Linked DNA regions of Daphnia pulex. The protein of the gene in region 1 interacts with the protein of each later gene in a biochemical or structural test. Links are inferred from orthologs where the notes say so. Each region holds a gene or a part of one and is shown on either strand. Other genes may lie near its edges. The genes, in order: DNA topoisomerase I, mitochondrial-like; SUMO-conjugating enzyme UBC9-B; serine/arginine-rich splicing factor 1-like.

Region 1 (7,651 bases):
TGATAAACTAGGAGGAGTAGTCGTGGAAAATTGTTGCTGTGATGTCTCCTCTGTCGGCGGTGAAATTGTTGTGGATGGGCGGTTACGATAAAGATTGTTCACCGAAGGACTTCGACACTCCACTCCAATAAAATCAGCGATAAAGTTAGCAATACACCAGTAAATAAGGAGCTTCATTATTCAAGTTGAATGAGTTACACGCTTTTACCGATCTGTTAAATAACTGTAAGGATGTTATTGTAACCGGAGAACTGTGTAAGTGTAATTATTTGAGTTAACACTTGGAATGAAGTTGACTCGAACATTCGATCTCAAGGAATGTGACTACTCCACAGAAAATGTGTTGATTTATAGGAATCTATGATGGGCAATACTGGTCGAAGAGCGGAAAGAGAAGTAGGTCAATGGAAAAAAGAGGGACGCAATAGCTAAGATTTTTCGAGGCCCCTTATTCCGGATAAGCAATGGATGCAATGAATTATGTATCACCTGATCTGATCTGCTAGACATTATAAGACAAATCTTTACGTACTCCGTTTCATTGACAAGGTCAATAAATATTGAAAAGATGGGATGACCTCGAAAATGTGACCATGACTACGATGACTGATGTCCTTAAAGGTCGAAAGAATTTACCACGAGATCGTCTGGGGATTTAAAGCTAGCTAATAATCATTTCTCATCACATTCACATAAAAAAAAACATATTTTATATCATTCGACAAAATAAAACCCTCATTACTTGCAAACGCTAGAGCGGGAACAGATTATTTCTTTCTTGCACAGAGAAAGCGGAGGCAAATGCATTTAGTCAGCCAACAGCCAAGTCAAGTGAGACAGCATACTATAAGACAGCTCACAGCTTTGAAAATACAACACCAATCTGTTGATCTCAATCTCAGTAAACATGAAGAAGAGTTGTATGGTTAGAACTGAATATCGAAGTCACATATTCATGGACATTGAACTGCAGTCCTTTGAGGCGACCTCAAGTGACCCTTACTGAGATCATTTTTCTTTCACGCCTTTACTGGAGCTGGCATTCTCTTCAAAGTTGACAATAGAGAAAAAAGGGGAAGCGATTCGACCAGGTATATGTAGTATACTATATACCTCCCCAATGTTATAGGACTTAACAAAAGGAAGATTTGGCATATTGTGGGTCCCATGTTCACTATCTCTGCGACGGGCTCGCCTTACTGCCTTAGACGATGAGAAAACATCCATCGTGTTTACTTGGCATAAACATGTTTTCAAAGAATGATTTGAGTTTTAAGATTGTACCGATTAAGCTAGGTTAAGAAGCTTTGGAGTGCATGTAGCATTTACTCTGGTCAACCGTAAAACGCTCGAGTAAACGAAATAGAACTAAAGTGTTCAAAGTCTACACAAAATTGGATTGGAGATTTTTGAAGTAAATTTACCCAAGATTAACACAAAAGAAAACATCGAATTAACTCAGCAAAACCCAAAATAAGTCACTCGACTTTAAACAGTTTTATCCTTAGTTATTGCTGATTGGTAATATTACGGATATGACCTAAAATGGATAAGTAGTATATTTCTTTCTACTTCCGTTGAAGTAACATTAAATAATAATGCGACTGAGAAGTAAACACAAGTAAACATCAATTCGCCTTCAATGGCTTATTGTCTTATGTAAATTTGCACTAAGTGATTTTTTCAAATGTTCCATCCATTCTGATACCAAATTTTCGCTCCGTTTCCTAGCACAAATAAAATTGCAGAACGAATTCAAATAAAATTTAATATTTGAAAAATGCTGCAGATGCTGTTGTGGCATTCTAACTTGTTCTTTGGTGACGGCATAAAGACTTTGATGTGTACCTGTGCCGCACGTTGGTACTGTTACACTGCTTGTTCACTAAAATACGGCCATTCAACTCATGTATAAAAATCACCTTCAACTCAATCGTCCACTAAAAATGTTTTAAGCATCTGGTGTCTCCATAAGACTGTAAGGTCGCTATCGACTTTGGTACACTTAACAAGAAAAAAGTAATTTTTATATATTAATAAATGATAATATTATTAAATAAATGTGACGAAAAAAATTATTTTCCGTTTACAATAGCTTTTTCCCTTTAGGCTTACGGGTAGATAAGTCTTAAAAAATAATTATGAACATTTGATGATTAAATTATTCTGTTGCAATACAAATTTGCATAATCGCAAACGTTTCGAATACAAATAGTAATAATAAATAACGTGACAGACTCGACAGACTTCGTCAGGAACTTTAGATTTTTGCATTTTCGTTAGGTTAATTTTTACTGATAGTTGGCATTGCTGTTGAGGTTCATGGACGAGAATGAGAAATTGTTAGTTTGCTCACTTCTACGCTAGGAGCGCTGAAGATATGACCTGTGAGAAAAGTCCTTGGGTCCGTTGCTGAACGTCCGGATGAAAGACCTGGCCATGTTGGTGTAGTTGGCTTTGGAAGTTTGGACTCTATCTTTTTGTGAAAAAACGCTCCGGTCCACAAAAGTCGTCCTTTATTTGTCAACGAAATGGGCTCAGCAGAAGTTGATAAGCATACCCCTCCATCAGTAAGTTTATATTCATTCTTAGCAATCAAATCGTGCAATTTTAAAGTGTGTCGGTAAGACGTCGGGCAAATACTGGAATGGAGAATCTATGGATTTCCCTCGGAGTCGGCCGAAATTTTTCTAAGTTCAAAATGGCCGTCAGCGGCTAAGTCCCTTCGTCAAAAACCTCTTTCTTTGGAACGGTTGACAAGCCTTATTTTGAGGGCGGCTAACAAATAACTTTTGGTTTCAAGATCGCATGTTCGAGTTCAATTCCTCTTTCAATTTTCGTGAAAATCTGTTGAACATTTGACGTGGAATTAAATTTAAAAAGTTGAATTTCTAACCCGAAAACGCGCTGACATGGCGTCAGATTTTCAGAGTCCAAAAGATGTAGCTCAACAGATATTTTCCTACCTTTTAGTTAGAATGATGACAAATTCGTCGTAACCGAACGCTCTTGTTTACAGTACATTTCGGTAGCGACTTACAAATAATATCATTCATGAGCTTGTGTTTCATAAAAAAATTACTGTCATGGAAATCAATGACTTCCAATTCATTGGCTAATTTTATTATTTAATGATTTGATAGGGTGATGGTGCTGGAAAAGATATGTTGACTGGGTTGTCAAATGGCATGGATCGCCATAAATCCAAGGATAAGGTACAAGCAAAATACTTTTTGAACATGAGTAAGTTTAATATGGTTGAACTAACTGATATCTTATTGTTTAGGACCATCATTCTCACAAGCACAAACATAAAGATAAAGATCGTGAGAAATCTAAAGACAAAAGCCGTGATAAACACAAGGACAAGCACAAGGATAAGCATAGGGATAAGGTAGTAAAAGTTCTAAACTATTTAATTAAATATTCAATTAATTTGTTGTGATATTATTTTTAAGGATAAGCATAAAGACAAATCTAAGGACAAAGATAGAAAGCATGACAAAGAAGAACGCAGCAAGGACCGGAAGCATAGTAAAGAGGATAGAAAGGTGGAAAAAGAAGAAAAGAAGAAAGGGAAGGACAAATCCAAAGACAAAGCTGAAAAATCCCAATATGTTGAAGTTAAAAATGAACCTTTGTCTGAAGATGATGATGTACCATTGGTAAGTGTTGATAAACCTTTCCATGTTTTGACTAGTTTTAAAATTATTTGATTTTTTTTCTGCTTAAGGCTTCTCGCTCATTCAGCCAGACTTCACAGGATTCTGAGGATGATGATCAACCCTTAGCTTTTCGCCAAAAGGTTAAACCTGAGGTTAAAGCTGAAGTTAAAGCTGAAAAACCGGTGAAGAGAAAGGCCGAAGATTTGGATGATGATGATTTTTCAGCTTCTAAGAAGAAAGCTAAAAAAGTAAAAGAGGAAAAGAAGGACAAGAAAGAAAAGCCAAACAAGAAACCAGCCACTCCAAATGGTTCGCCCACCAAACGAGCCAAAAAAGAAAAAGAAGAGGAAGAAACGTGGAAATGGTATGTCTATTGTTTAAAGTAACGATTTCAAACAAAAAATGTCAAAACGGGTCCATATCGATATTTTGTGATCGATAGTTAATCGTAAGCATGGCGGCTTGTGTTTTAAGATGCCGTTTTTTTATTAGTGCAACACTTTCGAGAAATGCATTTGTTTCATCATATGTTTTAGTTAAAAATCATTTTACGTCAAATTTAGTTTTACGTTATGTATCCTTGGATATAAGATATTTACCGTGGTATTTTAACTCTTACAAATAATTCGTTATCCCATGTTATTTTTCTTTGCAACCTTCTAAAGTAACCTGTGTTCTAAAATAACGTTTGTTTTTGTTCTTTAGGTGGGAAGAAGAGAAGCATGAAGATGGAGTTAAATGGAAATCCTTAGAGCATAAGGGTCCAGTGTTTGCTACACAATATGAACCCCTGCCAGGAAATGTCAAGTTTAAGTATAATGGTCAAGAAATGAAATTGAGTACAGCTGCTGAAGAAGTTGGATCATTCTATGCTGCTATGCTGGATCATGACTATGTGACTAAAGATGTATTTAATAAGAATTTTTTCAAAGATTGGCGTAAATTTATGACTCATTCTGAGAAAGAGATTATTACTGATCTCAAAAAGTGTGATTTCACCTACATGCTTACCTATTTTAAAGGTTTGTCAAAATTTTCTGCTAGTTTCTAATTAATTTTGATGGTTGTTAATCCCATGTTTCCTTCTTTAGCTAAATCTGAAGAGAGAAAGAACAGGACCAAAGAAGAAAAACTTCAGCTGAAAACAGAAAATGAAGAAATGGTTAAGGAATATGGATGGTGTATTATTGATGGACACAAACAACGTATTGGCAATTTCAAAATTGAACCGCCGGGTAATTTATTATTTAAAGTTTTTCTCTTTTTAAAATGCTAATTCTATTGTTTGAAGGTCTCTTTCGTGGTCGTGGTGATCATCCTAAAATGGGGATGGTAAAGCGGAGGGTAATGCCAGAAGATGTCATCATTAACTGTACTAAAGGAACTGCACCTAAACCTCCTCCTGGCCATAAATGGAAAGAAGTTCGTAGTGACAATACCGTCACCTGGCTAGCTTCGTGGACAGAAAACGTCCAAGGGCAAGTGAAATACATCATGTTGAATTCAGCATCTCGGTTGAAAGGAGAGAAGGATTGGCAAAAATATGAAATTGCCCGTCAATTGAAAGGTGTGTTAGTCAACTGTTATAAAATATCCCATGAAATGATATGTTAATATATTTTTTACATAGATTCTGTCGATAAAATTCGTGAGACCTACAAAGAAGATTGGAAATCAAAAGAGATGAAAATCCGTCAAAGATCCGTTGCATTATATTTTATTGACAAGGTAGGTCAATTTGTATTCTAATTATTTTCGTCGTGCATATTTATTCTCTATGTTGCATTGCAGTTGGCGCTCAGGGCAGGTAACGAAAAAGATGAAGATCAGGCCGATACTGTTGGTGCTTGTTCTTTGCGAGTTGAACATATATCACTTCACGAACAGAAGGAAGGAAAACAGTGTGTTGTAGTCTTCGATTTTCTCGGTAATTAATATCTATGTGTACGTTAACGCTCACCATAACATAATTTCTACATTTTTCTGAAATTTAGGTAAGGATTCTATTCGATACTACAATGAAGTTCCAGTGGAGAAGCGAGTCTTCAAAAACCTACAGATATTTATGGAAAATAAAAAACCAGGAGACGATCTCTTTGATCGACTGAATGTAAGGCGTAAGCTTGTTATAATCGGGTGGGTTTTGTAATTGACCTTTTTTTTTTCTCCATGAAGACCACCATCATGAACAAACATCTGAACGATCTAATGGAAGGGCTTACGGCTAAAGTGTTCCGTACTTTTAACGCTTCCAATACGCTGCAAGAACAGCTGGACGAACTAACCGATCCGAAATCTTCGGTTACTGAAAAAGTAGCTATGATAATCTTTGCAATTATTCGTTGCTTGTACTAATATCAATTGTTTTTAGATTTTGGCATACAACCGGGCTAATCGTGCTGTAGCTATCCTTTGTAACCATCAACGTGCTGTGCCGAAGACGTTCGCTAAATCGATGGAAAATCTCCAAGTAAAAATAACTACAAAACGAGAAGCTATTGAAGACGCAGAGAAAAGTTTTAAAGATCTGAAAAAAGAAGCCAAGAAAACGGGATCCGCTGCTGCAAAGTAATTTTTTTTTTAACCATTTCACAATTGAACTTGTTTAACCATAGACTTCTCTTCTGTTTATAGAATTGCAGCAGGCAAAAAAGAGAAGCAAGTCGAGAAACTCAAGGAGCAATTAATGAAGTTGGAAGTTCAAGCTACAGACAGGGAAGAAAACAAGGAGATTGCGTTGGGTACCTCCAAGTTGAATTACTTAGATCCACGTATTTCCGTTGCATGGTAACATTGAATGACTGTCAATGTCTGAATGTGTTTATAAATTATTGATTTCTCTTTTGTCTAACCAGGTGCAAGAAAAATGATGTACCTATTGAGAAGATTTACAATAAGACCCAGAGAGAGAAATTCCAATGGGCGATTGACATGGCGGGACCCGAATTTGTATTTTGACGGACAATTTTGGGACACTTAACTAGACATTACAATGAGTTGATAGCCTTTGTCTTCATACCTTAATTTATGGCAATTGAAGTGCAAAGGTATACGGTCGTTTGCTAAGGAAAATGTGACTGCCTCCCTCTTTAAGAACCCTCTATTGAGGGTCAATTTTTTTATCATTATAAAACTTCTCATGTGTTTGTACCATGTTTCATGGAATGTGTGGGTCCGCCTGTCGGATTCTTGCCAACCAATTGTTCCATCTCTTTCTCGTCTCGCAACAACTTCTCGGCGGTTTTCTGTGTAGCGGTGTGAAAAGTAAAGCTGCGTAGGCTTGAAAAATAAAATTCTTATAGCCTTTAATTTTGCCTCTTTTATAAGAGCACGCGAAACAAGACGTGCGTCTTTGAAGTCTTGGTTAGTTTACGGGAGGTTCTGCGGTATTTATTGGCGTGATAAATACATGTATAGCTAAGTTAATTGTAAGATTGAAACAAACCAGAGTTTTTGCGTAATTTACGTACGTATTTGTCGTCGGTACATTTTTAAATTTTTCGAAAGCAATTTCAAGTTCTTAATACACTTGCAGTATTGCTGACTCTTAAATTTATTTAAAGGAAGTTGTTCTAAAATCTAAGCCACTACACAACTACAGGTAAAGTAACTATTTTGTCACAGTTCTTTGGGTGAACACTCAGCCGTAGAAATGTGTAGAATCATTCGTAAGGGTTTTCCTGCATGTTGTAAGAAGCAGTAACGCAATTGATGCATGGCGCAGTTGGAGCAGTAGGTTTTAAAGTTGTAGTTGAAACAGTGGTCGGAGTAATAGGCTGTAAACCAGCATTCGCTTGAAACCAAGCATAATAAGCTGATAATCTTGTAAAAATTGAAGGTGGACCGTTTGTTTCGCATCCACGGTTCTTTGACATGATCCCAACAACAACATCTTCATTGGAAATTTTCTGGACCAATGGGGATCCTTCGTCGTACGCGCACGGACTGGAACTCGCTGATGAAATGACCAAATGTTAAACGATCCA
Region 2 (7,141 bases), on another chromosome or scaffold:
TTAATTGATTCAGATTGATAGTATACTAAATTTTCCAATTGTTACGCTAAGTTAGCTTTTATATTACCATCGTGTGTTTTGCTCGTCGTGCATGATATATTCACGCACCAAACTTTCATGGTTAGGGAAAATGGCGGCTATAAAAATTTCCAGCACTCTAGAACATTCGAAAGCAACTATAAATAAATTATCTGTTAGCTGAAAACTATTCTAAATTTGTTCGACGAAATTGTCGATTTTACGGAAAATTCCGGTGTGCGTGTCACGTCGACGGGCGGGACGCTTGAAGGTCAATACAAGGGCTTCTACCTCTCCCCAAAACACTATACAGTATTTTCTACAGTGGAGATGTATTGATCTTGTCCTGCCTATTTTTAGATCCAAAGACTCCTTCAACTTAACCTTTACTGATTTTATACTTTCTACTAGTCAAAGTATATATATAAAACTACACAAGACCAAATGTTAATGTTTAAATCCGGTAAAATGTGGTTTTGCGTCATCTGCTGAGAACAGCTGTTTTTGACAAATCAATAGTTTTACTGTTGCTATGCTAAATTTAACGTTTAAATTAGGCAAATGGAGTTTTTAATTTAATTTTTTGTTACCTTGAGCAGTTATCACCTCCTCAACTTCACCTAAAGATGTCGAAAATCGGTATTAACGGATTCGGTCGTATCGGCCGCTTGGTGCTTCGCGCTTGCATCGAAAAGGGAGCTACGGTAAAACATAATTAATTAAAATATTAATGATTTCACTCATTCTGACATTTTGGGATTTTAGGTTGTTGCTGTCAATGATCCCTTCATTACTCTTGACTACATGGTGTACATGTTCAAGTATGACTCTACCCATGGCCGCTTCAAGGGAGAAGTGAAGGAAGAAGGTGGCAAGCTTGTTGTCAATGGACATCACATTCAGGTCTTCAGCGAGCGTGACCCCAAGAACATTCCATGGGGAGCTTCTGGAGCTGAATATGTTGTTGAATCCACTGGTGTTTTCACCACTTTGGACAAGGCCCAGGCTCACATTGATGGAGGAGCAAAGAAAGTTATCATCTCTGCCCCATCTGCTGATGCCCCCATGTTTGTTGTTGGAGTCAACCTTGAAGCATATGATCCTTCCATGAAGATTGTTTCCAATGCTTCTTGCACCACCAACTGCCTGGCTCCTCTGGCTAAAGTTATCAATGACAACTTTGGTATCATTGAAGGCTTGATGACCACTGTCCATGCCATCACTGCAACCCAGAAAACCGTCGATGGACCTTCTGGAAAGGTAAAATACTTTTGGAGAAAAAAAAAATGATCACATACTAACCTTTTGAATATTCGATCATTGCAGTTGTGGCGTGATGGCCGTGGTGCTGCCCAGAACATTATTCCTGCCTCTACTGGTGCTGCCAAGGCCGTAGGTAAAGTCATTCCTGAACTGAACGGAAAATTGACCGGTATGGCTTTCCGCGTACCCGTCCACGATGTCTCCGTTGTTGATCTGACCTGCCGCCTGTCCAAGGAAGCCAGCTACGACGAAATCAAGGCTGTCGTTAAAGCAGCAGCTGAAGGCCCGATGAAGGGTATTTTGGGCTACTGCGATGAGGAGGTAACATCATTAGAAACATTTTACATTAAAGTTGATTGATAACGTGAGATTTTTTGTAGGTCGTCTCCACAGACTTCATTGGTGACAACCACTCTTCCATCTTCGATGCTGCTGCAGGCATTGCTCTCAACAAAACTTTCGTCAAGCTGATTTCATGGTACGACAACGAATTTGGTTATTCGTGCCGTGTCGTCGATTTGATCAAGTACATGCAATCCAAGGATTAAATCAATAAAGCTGCATTGTGGGATGAGTCACTGGCATACGTCTTACAGCAGAATAATCCGTTACTTATTCTGTTAATGTTGTCTAATTATCTATCCCTCATTCTTGCTACCGCACTGGCTACAACGATTGATGTTTGTTGTTGGTCGTCCTTTCTGTAGTCTGAAATCCCAATCTTAGATGTCTGTTACATTGGCTACAGGAATATAAACGTTTGTCACAAAATTTACATTTCAATTTTTTATTATCAGCTCATTTTAAATCAACATTTTGATCTTTAATTTATTGATAAAATATCATTATCATAAAGAAATTTACTTTCCACATACCTGCTCACTTTGGTGACAGTAATCTCCTTTCATGCAACGCCATATATTTGCATTCAAACGTGCGAATATGTGAAGGGAACACGAAGCTTTCAAGACGCGATTCCCCAGTACTCATTGGTTACGCCTAATAATAAAATTATAGTTAGTAATCTGAAATAAAACATTTACAATTATGCTCTATAATATGATTGACATTTCTCTGTAACAGCCAATACTGACGAGGAGTTATATTCAAAAGATTTTTTTAGATATGGACATTATTCTATTACTTGACAGTTAACTTTCTCAGAAGCATCTTCCTGAGCCCTTCAGGAGTCATTTGTTATTCAGTGCAATGGTAAAAATAAAGACAGACTCACAACAATATTACATAGCACACTACGTTTCCAAGCAAGAAATTAGTTTAAAAACTGGCACATGTAATAATCTTTGAACTATACAAAATAGTGATTCAAGCACTATTGTTTTGTGAAATCACCAATACATCATATCTAATGAGTATTTAACAGGATATTTTCCGCTTTGAGATACCCAAGTATGTTTCATTCCCTTCCACTTTGGCACTAACACATTCAACCCTTCTATGCGAGAAGTACCTAGCTGAAACAACCATAATAGGGAATAACAGATCTTCATTTAATAAATTTAGAGTTTGTGACCTAATATGACAAATTAACTGATGTTTTCATACCTTTCTGAACATTCTATATCAATTTTGTAGTTTCCCCATCCACAAAGTTAAACTGAACTGAGGCTTTAGGATTAGAGATTATATCATTCTTAATTCATTCGAGACATGGTTGTTTGCACCTTTTTTCGTTTTGTCTTCGTGTGATACCTTTGTGGTTTGTCACTAGTTGATTCACGTGTTCGAATATTCTGGAAGCATTACGTAAACGACGCTTGGCTTGTCTCGAATGTTGAACGATCAAAGCTACATGAGATGGAAGATATCAATGATTTTTTTTAACACTTGATTTTTCAATTTGGAATTTAAACAAAATACAAGAACTTAAGATGCATGCCTGTGTGACTCACTGCTCTGTTGTTTTTTGAACCATCTGGGCGCCATCTTTCATAGGCAGTGGCAGCATAGCCAGTTCATTTTTAATTTTAGTTGATGAAAACTAAAACTAAAAATGCTTATGCATGCTACAGCCAAAATGGTTTGATTTCATTGAAATCCATATTTTACATGCAAATGTTTCATCATTTATTCGTTTAAATCCCCAAATTAAATTTTAAATTGATTTGTAATTATTCGAATTACCTTAAGGCAACCCTGGCAATAATTGTACGAAACTACACAGCTAAATTATTTGGCAGCCGTTGAAAAAAGGTAACTATTATTTATTTAAGAGCTGTTGCATCTTGCTTTCTTCAGTCATATTCACACTTTCTTATTACATCACACTGAAATTTTTATTCTCTAGTGACCAATAATGTCCGGTATTGCTATTGCTCGACTTTCTGAGGAACGTAAAGGCTGGAGGAAAGACCATCCCTTTGTAAGTTGCTGGTTTGCCAAACGATAGTTGTTGGGTTGTGTGTGTTTGATTTGTGTATCTTTGCGTTGCCTTTAGGGTTTTGTTGCCAGGCCCACAAAGAATCCTGATGGAACCCTCAATTTGATGAACTGGGAATGTGCTATTCCAGGCAAGAAATCGGTAATGAGTTTTACACTTAAAGATCTTACTTCACATTGGTGTCAGATATACTTACCAAATTCACTGTTGTTTGAAGTAACAATATTAAGTGTAACTTGTGCATACATTTACAGACTCCCTGGGAAAATGGATTGTACAAAATCCGTATGATTTTTAAAGATGACTACCCCTCTTCTCCTCCAAAATGCAAATTTGAGCCCCCACTTTTCCATCCAAACGTCTATCCATCAGGTTGAATCAAATGGCTATTTGAGTGTTTTGTTTTAGCTAACCTTTTGGCATTTAATATCCAGGCACAGTTTGTCTATCATTGTTGGATGAAGAAAAGGACTGGAGACCTGCAATTACCATCAAACAGATTTTGCTTGGAATTCAAGATCTCCTAAATGACCCCAATATTAAGGATCCGGCTCAGGCAGAAGCTTATACTATCTACTGGTAATGATTTTTACACCAGTAGACAACTTGAAAGTTTGGATTGTAATATTTCATTTGATTATTTCTCCAGTCAAAATCGAATGGAGTACGAAAAACGTGTTAGAGCACAAGCCAAGGCTATGGCTGCCACCACTGATTTGCTGTCTTAATTTCCCAAGTAAATCCAGCTGTCAAGGAATAAGTTAACTTCTTTTTCTTTTCCACGTGCTCTATTTGTTTTTTAAAAATTCTTATTGTCTTCATTTCAATACTTACTTATCGTCCAGAAAACATACTCCGATCTGAAATAAAACGCTAAGTAAGGTGTAACACTTGTTGACCTTTTTTTTTTTCAATTACGTCACTTGACTATTTTATTTGGTTGTGACCTACTTTGTTGATATGCGTTTTATCTGGCGAATATCTGATTATGAAGACCAAACTTCTTTTAACTACTAGAATTCATCAAAGGCTCTCTTACCTGATTAAAATTTGAACTAAATGGGTTATCGATGTACAAAGTGCAAAACAAGGTATGTAAAACAACAACCGATTTATCACAATATTTTCAGCAGCGACAATATTACAGATACACTAAAATCAAAGAAAACATTCCGACTTGAAATCGATTAAAAATCTTAACCGAGAAGAATCGGAGATCGGGTATGGCATTTTCAAATGGCGAAATATACGAATCACGAAACAAGTAAAGCAAATTTGTCATCATGTAAAAAGACTGTGGAGGATGCAAGAATAAGGAGGCGCAATTTCACACAACGCTTTCTCTGTCATCACGGTGGAGGTCGGAAAAGTCCTCTCCCGTCTGCGGATTCCGACTAAAAGCATCACCTCCGTGACCCACGCCGAACAGATTGACTATCCACCGCTTGACGTTGGGCACGCTCTTGCTAACAGTGGGGGCGATGACCGTGTCTTTGCCTTCTTTACCGAGTCTCTCGCCCGATGTCGAATGTTCCAGTTGTTCACAAGAGTATCTCTTTTCAGACTCCATCAATCCACAGGCTGTGAGACTGGGCCGATGCCGAGTGCGATCGCGACTGAGCAGAGTCTCGGAATTGACGTCAATCCCTTCGTCGTCGTTTTGGAGTAACCTGACGGCCTGGTAGCCCGAAGTCTTGATATGTCCGTTGGGTCGTGACAATTCGGCTTGCTCCGGTTGATCCCCGTTCGGGATTGTCAAGACGACGTTGTGATCGTCGCTGAGAAGTCGAGAATGTTCGTCTTCAGTGTCATCCTGCGACGCGCAACTGGGCAGCGGCGACCGGTCTATCAAAGTCGACCTCAATTCAGACGGGAAAAGATCCAGGGATTTGGATTCTTTCCTGCGACGCTGATTCGACTTGTTTCGAGAAGGGAAGACTTGAGGAACGCAGAGAAACTGCCGGGGACCATGACTAACCGAACTCAAACCGCCCGCTCTCTGCTGCTGCTGCTGCTGCTGCTCCTGATGCTGGTGGTGGTGGTGGTGGTGGTGTTGTTCATCTTCGTCTTCGGGAAATCGACCGAGTGACTGGCATCGCCTTTGAGGTAACAGCGGACTGGCTGTTGTTCCGCTCCGATAATCCACATCACCGCTCTCGCTCGCTCCCTCGGCAACGATTTGAACTTGGCTGGCATGTGCGCTGCGCGTTAATAGGCAACTACGCCGTAGACTTGCATTTGACTTGGTTGTTCGAACTGAACGCAGAGACCGAGCCGATTGGCTCGTTTTCCTGTCGAAAAGCTGTTTTGTTTAAAAAGAAATGGAACGTGTTACCATGGAAACTTTCAAAAGGGAGAAAATGAGAAATTTATACTTTCGGAGTTGGAGGTTGATTGGTGCTGATGATGCTGCTGCATATCGAGTCGCTATTGGAACCCTCCAACAATTCGGCCGAATTATCGTGGTGATACATCCTGTTGGGCTGGCCTTGTGTCCGTCCTTGTTGCGCAGCCAGCGACGAGCTCATTCGAATGCTCCCGCTGCCAACGGGCCTCGAATCGGACGACACTCTCCTCGTCAGCATCGATTCCGCCCTGTGAAGCATTCGAGGACTCCTCCGGCGAAGATCCGACATGTTGCCGGCACTGCCGTTGGCGTTGGAACTCGCTGCTCCGATGGCACCAGACGGGCGACAAAAGAGTGGCGCTTGATCGGGTCCAACGTCCGCTCGTGCTGTAACAGCTCCACTTGTGACGCCAATCAGCCAGTGTGTCAACACTTCGCCTTTGCCCTTCATGGCGACCAGTCCTCGTTCTTCCGTCACGTAACCGCCGATCTTTTCCAACGCCTTTCGACACTCGCAACTGATGTGAATCCTCAGGGGCTCGCCGTTCGATTCCATCCGCGAAGCCGTGTTGACCGTGTCGCCGAACAAACAATATCTGGGCATCGTCAAACCCACTACTCCGGCCACCACGGGACCTGTTTCATCATATCGACAAAAATGGTTTTTTACCCTTTATTTGTATTTATTTTAAACTTGTGTATTGTACCGGTGTGAATTCCGATCCTGAGTAAAACTGGATCTTTAGGTCGATGGGACACGCGATGATTCTTGACTGCTGATAGCAAATCAAGCGCCATCGACGCAATCATGCCGGCGTGTAGATCGCCGTTGGGTAAAGGCAATCCAGAAACCTGTTTTCACCCAATTTTAGATGAAATTAAGTCAAAAATGAAAACAAGTTGTATATATTGTGAGACTTACCACCATGTAGGCATCTCCGATGGTTTCCACCTTGTACACATCGTAACCCTGGATGATGGAATCGAACAAGGTGTACAAATCGTTGAGAAAGTTGACCACCTAATTGCGGAGAAAACAACGCCCACAAAATTGTCAAATCTAAATCGAGTTACAAGTTTTTAATAAAAGAATTACCTGGAACGGAGTACTC
Region 3 (7,499 bases), on another chromosome or scaffold:
GAGTGTTAATTTTTTTTGTATTAGCGAAGAAGCCCGCGGTAACATCTGTTGGCGATGATTTCGGGTGGACATGAACACAGAGATTCACAACAGAAAAGTGACCAAGGGTGACAGACTACATCGATAAACCGCACGTTCAATATTATCCTGTTTTACGAGTCTGAAGCATTTTCAATAATGTACTGTGAAATATTGAGGGGTGGGCAGAGCTAGATGGCAAAACAAAAAAAAATATGAGCGATGTGAGGTTGGGGGTGGAGCAAGAGACCAGTAGGGGTTACATCATGGGGATGGATCACTTTTGTGAGTGTAAAACCTTGTAAAATGTGTATTTGTTGAATGATTAGGATCTAGTTGGTTACCCTAACCAGACTTGAAGAGTAAGATTGCCACCTGCCCCAAGTAGAAATAGATGAAATGTCTGGTTTCATGAGTGACGTAAGAACCAAAGTTCCGCCCAACTATGCAATGCCAAGTGGGATTGTACTTTTTGTCAAACTCTTTTTTTATGTATGCAGCAATATCCTATGAGAAAAACGTATTATGAATCAACCAGCGAAAGCAAACAACTTTGTTCCTTTAACACATTGTTTTTAATGTTTGAAATATCCAATTACTCAAGTATTTTGACTGACCTTTTCAATATTGTACTTTTCCAAGGCTTGTGTTGCACAGTCTACTGCATCCTGCTGCATTTCCTCCGACATATCCGCATTTTTAATAACAGCTTTTCGATCGGCCATTCTTTTAAAATTTTGTCAAAACTTCTGCAGGAGGAGATGAAAAGTGGGAATGAATCAGACCTGTTGCGTTATAGGGCCACTTTGAGTGCTAAAATGATGAATAAATCAATACTTGTTTTAAAGGACCAGCCTTAAATCTTTTCTTTTTTTCAAAAAACCTAGAAGTTTCTACTGCACAGACCTCGGCAACAGTAAATCAACTATAGAGTCAAGCACACTCAGAACTGACAACGTTAAATTCAAGATCTTTCTGACCGGCGCAGATCTGCAGACGGTTAAGTTCTTCTTCAATGATATTAACAAAGGCCTGTTACCAGCAACTTACATGAACTCTGATGTTCGTAAGTCAAGTTGTGTCCAAAGCGCCACCAGTGGACTGATTCATTCAAACAACATACTAACATACTATCATGATAATATGGTTACAATTTGGTTAGTAAAATACAAGGTTAACAACATTTGATTTCTCATTTATTTTTCATATTGCATTCATGAGGGAAAAACGTTTTTGACTGAATGAATGTTTTCCGTTAGAGGGCAGTAGTAACCGTAGCAAAAAAATGCGGGACTAAAATTGACAGTCAATTGCCTATCGCACAAATACCTTGCTCCAACGTATTAAGGCTTTAAGTATCGGTAGAAGTAAATGATAGAACCAAGTGATTCTAACGATAGTTACAAAAGGCGCGTTTTTTTTAAACAGGGAAATTATTGAAAGTCTATCAACTATAATTAACAATAATAATTATTCACGTTTCTCCTTGCTAAAATTTTTAATTAAAATGAAATGTGTGACGTCAACATTTATAAGCGTTTCCGTTTGCTGCTGTTAGAATACTTTTTTAAATATCACATTTCCGGGCGGAACGGACAAAACAAAACATTGTGAAATATAATAAGGAACACAAAAGAAGAACATAAATACTTTTTTTGTTATTATTATTTCAAATCTAAGTTGTCTTATCCCTTATGGCACGCTCAACTATTTTTCAGACTTACAATTTTCAGAGCTATTGCTTATGGCAAGCCAACTCAAAATTTCACAGGAAAAAAGGAATAAATGCACCACTGAAAAATTAAAGATAGGTTATTGTTGTAACCAATGCCGGTTTATTTATACCAGTTCTTGAAAGGAGATAACCCCCAGAGCAAATGACCTTGTCACAAAGTTGATCGTTACGTCAATGCGGTTGAAAAGAACTCGACCTTGATGTACGATTTTATACCAGGTATAGATTGCACGCGAACGTCGTTACCAAGAGCCCAACAAAAATGTCGCGCAATAGGCTCTGCATGCAAGGGTCATTCAGTTAATTGCACCAGAACAAAGAAGTACTCAAGATAACAAGCATAATTTTGAGATAACTGAGTTAACCATTAATAGCTGTGGTTCGGTCTTCGGTTTGCGCTTACTAGAGTGCCACCGTGTTCACTTTGAAACCTAATTATTCACAAAGCCACTAATATGAACTTATTTCAACTTAATTTTCATCCGCGATTTATTTGCTAGATTTATAGGCAAACAAAAAAAATTAAAATCACAAAAATAGTAACTATAAAAAAAAGACAAAAAATAAAAATAAAAGCGTTATCAACTTGCTGATCTGGCAATGCTCCATGGCTGACGCCATTACCCGTTCAGAAAAATTTACGGCATTTTTCTGTTTGACAAGGGGCGCCTAACACCCAAGACTACTGTGACGTCTTTTTTCGAAAAAGCAAATTCCGTATTCGAATTCGATTTAACATACACATTTGGCAACTAACCGTAAGTGACAAGAAACAGTCAGTATGTCAAGTTCTCGCAACAATGAAGCCAGAATCTACGTCGGTAACTTGCCACCCGACATTCGCACTAAGGACATTGAAGACTTATTCTACAAATTTGGAAAGATTGCATACATTGATTTAAAGAACCGACGAGGACCTCCTTTTGCTTTTGTTGAATTTGAAGATCCCAGGTATGTTGCATGGTTATATTTGTTTCCTTGTTTAGTTAATTACAAGCACTTTATAGGGATGCTGAGGATGCTGTGCATGCTCGTGATGGCTATGACTATGATGGATATCGTTTGAGAGTGGAATTTCCAAGAGGATCACAGAATTCTGGTGGTGGACACAGGTCAGTTTTTCTATCCTCACATACCATATTTGTAATTTAGTTGTGATTGTTTTATTTTGTTGGTAAAAGAAATTATGACAAACAAGTAAAAATCCTAATTTAATTTTTCATAATATTTATTTTTTAGGGGTAGTGGTGGTCGAAGTGGAGGAAGAGGTGGTGATGGAGGTAGAGGAGGGGGTGATGGTGGGGGTAGCAATGGTGGAGGCAGGAGTCGAGGGCCACCAGCAAGAAGAACAAATTACAGAGTCATTGTAACTGGTGAGTTAAACATTTAGTAAAGTTTTAAACCATCATTTAAAGCCACTTTTGATATTCACAGGTCTTCCTCCTACTGGATCATGGCAAGATTTAAAAGATCACATGAGAGAAGCTGGTGATGTGTGTTATGCTGATACCTATAAAGATGGAACTGGAATGGTTGAATTCCTTCGCTACGAGGATATGAAATACGCCATCAAGAAATTAGATGACTCAAGATTCCGTTCACATGAGGTATATTTTCTACAAATCTTGATAAACAAAGTTTTCAAAATTATTCGTACGTTTACAGGGAGAAGTATCATATGTGCGCGTTAAGGAAGATAGCGGAGACGGTAAGTTATATTTCAATTTTTGTTTAAAGTAAATATTGACCTTGAATTTTTTCTTCTATAGGTCGCAGCGGCGGAACTCGTGATCGATCGCGATCTTATTCTCCAGCCGGTGGTGGCGGCAAAACACGTGGAAGTCGCGGCTCCCCCAGCTATTCCCCCGTTCGTCGTGGTGGTTCATATTCCCGTTCGCGCTCACGCTCACCTCGTTCCAGATCACGATCTTAAAAAAGTTATGGAAACGAGAAAAAGGCAAAACTAAACAAAAAGACAAAAGTTGTGCGATGTGGACAACAAAAAGCTTAAGGATTGGAAGGACTGGAGGAGGAAAGGGGTCTTTGGTATTGTCTCCATGGTTCATACTATATTTTCAAAATTCTTAGATGAATAGCAAATCTTTTAAATTGCAAAAACCAATTTTTTTTTTTTTTACAACAAGCTACATCAAAGATTTCAATTTTTTATGAGAAACTCAAAATATGTTTCTTGGGTTATGATTTTGGCATTTGCAATTATTGCTACTAATCATTCAGTTTCTTCTCGACGTACACGTAATCCTTTTTGGTTTCGAATACCCTCAGAGCTCCCCGATTCCAACCAACTAATTTTTTTTTTTCCGTGAGCAACCTCATCCTTTCCTTTTTCCCCTCCCTCTTGTAATACACAAAATAGCTGTGCGTCGAATAAACATGATTCTCATTTTCTTCCCCTTTCTATTTGTAGCGTACACAGCAAGGTTATTGCTCTCTCTGGATGGGATTGTTGTGGGATTTGGATTGCATTGGATTTGGATTTCATTGGAATGGATTTGGATGGATGCATTGTGGATTGATAGGTGACAGGATCTGGAGGATATGCTGGAAACAGCAACCGCTTCTCCTTTGTCTACAACCGTCGTGGTGAATCGCTGTGGACTTGCCTTGTCAGGACCCGTTTATTTTAAAGAGATCTGTTGGACTCCGGCACTTTGGAATTGAGCCCGACCTAAGACAAGAGTTAACTTAGGATTGCTTACCCTTTGATTTTCAGGCACTTTTTTCATCATCATACAGAGAAAGAAGAAACCGACGGATGACGACAAAATGGAAATAATACATGCCTTGCAAATGGTGATATTTCCTTGGAGTACAAAGAAATTCCTTCGATGTTTACCGATACTTCTGTTTTCGGCACATTGGAAACAGTATTACCATTTTAATGACAATTTTTTTATGTATGATACGATTTAATACAACCAGTGAAATGCTTTTGAAAAAAAAATTATGACCAAAATTATTCTGTTCTCTAGACTAAAACAAAAATTTGATGACGTGTTTAAAATACAAAGTTGCTTTTCGTCTTAAACACAGAAAGAACAATTAAAACAATTCGCATTACGATTACTCACCATAGAAACTTAACGTAGAAACTGTTTCAGAGAAAAAAAATAGGTTTTTGTTTAGTTTTGATTTCTTTCTAAATTTATATCTCCTTGTCCTTGGAACCAAAAATGAGAAACAAAAATGCTTTGAACTTGAGCGCTTGCTTCTTCTTTTTCTTTTTACGAAAGTCCCAGTACTTCCTTAAGATTCCTCTAGATGGCGTCTTCGCGTTGCTTGGGTAACCAAAAACGTATAAAAACGTACAAATTTTCCCCCAAAATAGTGTAATTACACATTCACTTTGAGCATACTCAAAAAAACATATAGTTTGAAATTATATATTTGTACAGCGTTTTGAGTTTATCATCTGAATTTCTACGATTTTTCTGTGCATCAATAGGCTCTTATCGGTTGTTAACCGGTCTCTAAACAGAGCAAGTTTAGACCTGCAGTTACGAACTACAGTGGAAGATTGAAGCATTGGTAAGAATAATTTTGTTTTTTCTTCAATAAACCGATGATTTTATTTCACAATACATTCGTCATTTGTCATAGATTAAACATTGTTAGAAGATATTTTCAGTACGTTGAAAATTGTCACTATAATAACATTGTAGCAGAATGTTTCTCTTCAGTAAACAACAACTTTTCTTTCTTTTTTTTTAGGCATCTGTGATATAGGTTTTTTGGGGTATTTCCAATCATGGCTACTACAAGCATAAAAAGACCTAAAGAAGAAGATTCACTCGATGGACCTGGTCGAGAAGCAAAAAAGTTAAAATCACGATTCCAGGATGACAGCAATGGAGATGGAAAGAGTGACCAGGATACTACTGAACAACTCTCTTCTTCTCAGATTAGAGAAATGATGATGAATGCTCAAAAGATGATTGAGGAAAGGAAACGATCTCTCAATCAACCGCCAGCTCTTCTCAAGACTACCCCAGTGCTCTCATCACTTCCAACACCTGTAGCTCCTAAAGCCGTTCCCCCATCTTCAATGGATGAGCGTGCCAGAAAGATTGCTGAACTACAGGCTCAAATTCAGTCAAAACTAGCCACCTCCACTTTAGCCACATTGAACTTGAGTCTTCCTAAAACAGCCAGTGTCCCTGCATCAACAGGGGAAGGGTCTAATAATGAGCCGAAACCTGGCCCACTTATTCTCAACGCTGATGGAAGGACAGTTGATGCGACTGGTAAAGAGATTGCCTTGGCCCAATACACACCAACTCTCAAGGCAAACATTCGTGCCAAAAAACGCGAGGTGCTCAAGACTCACATGGGCAAAGGATCTCAACAACAAAGCGAGGAAGCGGGAAATTTGACGGAAAGTCGCTTCTTCGATCCACGTGTTGCAGCCAAATCCTCCGTGAGAACACGCAGAACCTTCCACTTTCACGAGCAGGGCAAATTTCAGCAAGTGGCATCTCGAATGCGAATGAAGGCTCAGTTAGACAAATTGCAAAGCGAAATCTCTCAAATTGCCCGTAAGACTGGCATCAATTCAGTCACTGCACTTGCTCTAGTTGCCCCACGAGTTGGCGATCGTCAGGAGGAGGAGGACATTGATTTGGAATGGTGGGACTCGGTCATCTTGCAAACACGAAGCTACGAAGGCGAAGACGGACAGCCCAATTTACGCCAGGAGACGATTACCAATTTAATCGAACATCCCATCCAAATGCGTGCTCCCACCGACCCGCTGGCCTTGCCCTATTTGCCCGTCTTTCTCACCGAGAAAGAGCGCAAGAAGTTGCGCCGCACCACTCGACGTGAAAATTGGAAGGAGAAACAAGAAAATATCCGTTTGGGACTGGAACCGCCACCTCAAGCAAAAGTTCGAATTTCTAATTTGATGCGCGTGTTGGGCAACGAAGCCATCCAGGATCCAACCAAAATTGAAGCTCACGTCCGCGAGCAAATGGCCAAACGACTTCAAAATCACCAGGAGGCAAATGCCTCTCGAAAGTTGACGGCTGACCAGCGACGCGAAAAGAAGGAGAAAAAGCTCCAAGAAGACACGACAACGAGCGGTGTGCATGTGGCGATTTACCGGATCAAGGATTTGTCCAATTTATCCAAGAAATTCAAAATCGAGACCAATGCCAAGCAGCTTTACATGACGGGATGCGCAGTCATTTTCAAGGACGTTAACGTCGTTATAGTCGAAGGAGGCCCTAAACAGCAGAAGAAGTACAAACGCTTGATGCTCAATCGCATTCGGTGGGAAGAGGACGCCGTCAAGGTTAGCAAACACGACACTGGTTCATCCTCCCAGCCCGAAACGCGGAATTCCTGCCAGCTCGTTTGGGAAGGCACGACCAAACAACGCAATTTTGGTGACCTCATCTTCAAACTTTGCCCATCGGAGGTTGTGGCTCGAGAACATTTTCGCAAACACGGCGTCGAACACTACTGGGACCTGTCTTATTCCACAGCAGTGCTGGAAGAAACTGAAGAAAAGTGATCGGTTTCATTCTGCCATCAACTTTAACTCTTTATTTTTTTCTTTTCATTTTTGAACCAAACGTTCATCTTTGAATATTACCATCAATAAAAAGATTTGTCTTTATTTCTTTTTTTTTTCTTTTTTTGTGTACAAAAACGGGGAATGTTATACAGGTCTTCGCAGGAACATGACAGAATATATCCTTTGACGCTGGGCAGCTTTTCAGGC

Evidence for each region.
Region 2: the proteins of DNA topoisomerase I, mitochondrial-like (region 1) and SUMO-conjugating enzyme UBC9-B form a complex in vitro, tested with the Homo sapiens proteins (2 studies listed by BioGRID, with this or other methods). The link is inferred for Daphnia pulex from reciprocal best matches to the Homo sapiens genes TOP1 and UBE2I.
Region 3: the proteins of DNA topoisomerase I, mitochondrial-like (region 1) and serine/arginine-rich splicing factor 1-like form a complex in vitro, tested with the Homo sapiens proteins (2 studies listed by BioGRID, with this or other methods). The link is inferred for Daphnia pulex from reciprocal best matches to the Homo sapiens genes TOP1 and SRSF1.

Annotation. Positions count from the first base shown.
Region 1 is NC_060019.1:12,289,691-12,297,341, forward strand, and holds DNA topoisomerase I, mitochondrial-like, read left to right. Parts: upstream 1-2,352; 5' UTR 2,353-2,531; coding exon 2,532-2,570; intron 2,571-3,143; coding exon 3,144-3,215; intron 3,216-3,286; coding exon 3,287-3,394; intron 3,395-3,458; coding exon 3,459-3,665; intron 3,666-3,733; coding exon 3,734-4,029; intron 4,030-4,370; coding exon 4,371-4,687; intron 4,688-4,756; coding exon 4,757-4,900; intron 4,901-4,956; coding exon 4,957-5,232; intron 5,233-5,295; coding exon 5,296-5,393; intron 5,394-5,456; coding exon 5,457-5,592; intron 5,593-5,659; coding exon 5,660-5,775; intron 5,776-5,840; coding exon 5,841-5,978; intron 5,979-6,036; coding exon 6,037-6,233; intron 6,234-6,299; coding exon 6,300-6,452; intron 6,453-6,520; coding exon 6,521-6,623; 3' UTR 6,624-6,974; downstream 6,975-7,651. Other genes in the region: trypsin-1-like, read right to left, coding at 7,328-7,620. UniProt on the Homo sapiens protein: Releases the supercoiling and torsional tension of DNA introduced during the DNA replication and transcription by transiently cleaving and rejoining one strand of the DNA duplex.
Region 2 is NC_060018.1:630,553-637,693, forward strand, and holds SUMO-conjugating enzyme UBC9-B, read left to right. Parts: upstream 1-3,342; 5' UTR 3,343-3,495; exon of another isoform or gene 3,496-3,589; 5' UTR 3,590-3,598; coding exon 3,599-3,664; intron 3,665-3,739; coding exon 3,740-3,823; intron 3,824-3,936; coding exon 3,937-4,054; intron 4,055-4,116; coding exon 4,117-4,261; intron 4,262-4,331; coding exon 4,332-4,410; 3' UTR 4,411-4,570; downstream 4,571-7,141. Other genes in the region: glyceraldehyde-3-phosphate dehydrogenase 2-like, read left to right, coding at 645-722, 784-1,278, 1,345-1,602, 1,662-1,829; receptor-type guanylate cyclase Gyc76C-like, read right to left, coding at 5,010-5,984, 6,058-6,665, 6,737-6,881, 6,952-7,050, 7,126-7,141. UniProt on the Homo sapiens protein: Accepts the ubiquitin-like proteins SUMO1, SUMO2, SUMO3, SUMO4 and SUMO1P1/SUMO5 from the UBLE1A-UBLE1B E1 complex and catalyzes their covalent attachment to other proteins with the help of an E3 ligase such as RANBP2, CBX4 and ZNF451.
Region 3 is NC_060024.1:10,558,909-10,566,407, reverse strand, and holds serine/arginine-rich splicing factor 1-like, read left to right. Parts: upstream 1-2,352; 5' UTR 2,353-2,534; coding exon 2,535-2,704; intron 2,705-2,760; coding exon 2,761-2,865; intron 2,866-2,992; coding exon 2,993-3,126; intron 3,127-3,187; coding exon 3,188-3,360; intron 3,361-3,418; coding exon 3,419-3,461; intron 3,462-3,522; coding exon 3,523-3,686; 3' UTR 3,687-4,161; downstream 4,162-7,499. Other genes in the region: U4/U6 small nuclear ribonucleoprotein Prp3-like, read left to right, coding at 5,523-7,289; zinc transporter ZIP3-like, read right to left, coding at 7,494-7,499. UniProt on the Homo sapiens protein: Plays a role in preventing exon skipping, ensuring the accuracy of splicing and regulating alternative splicing.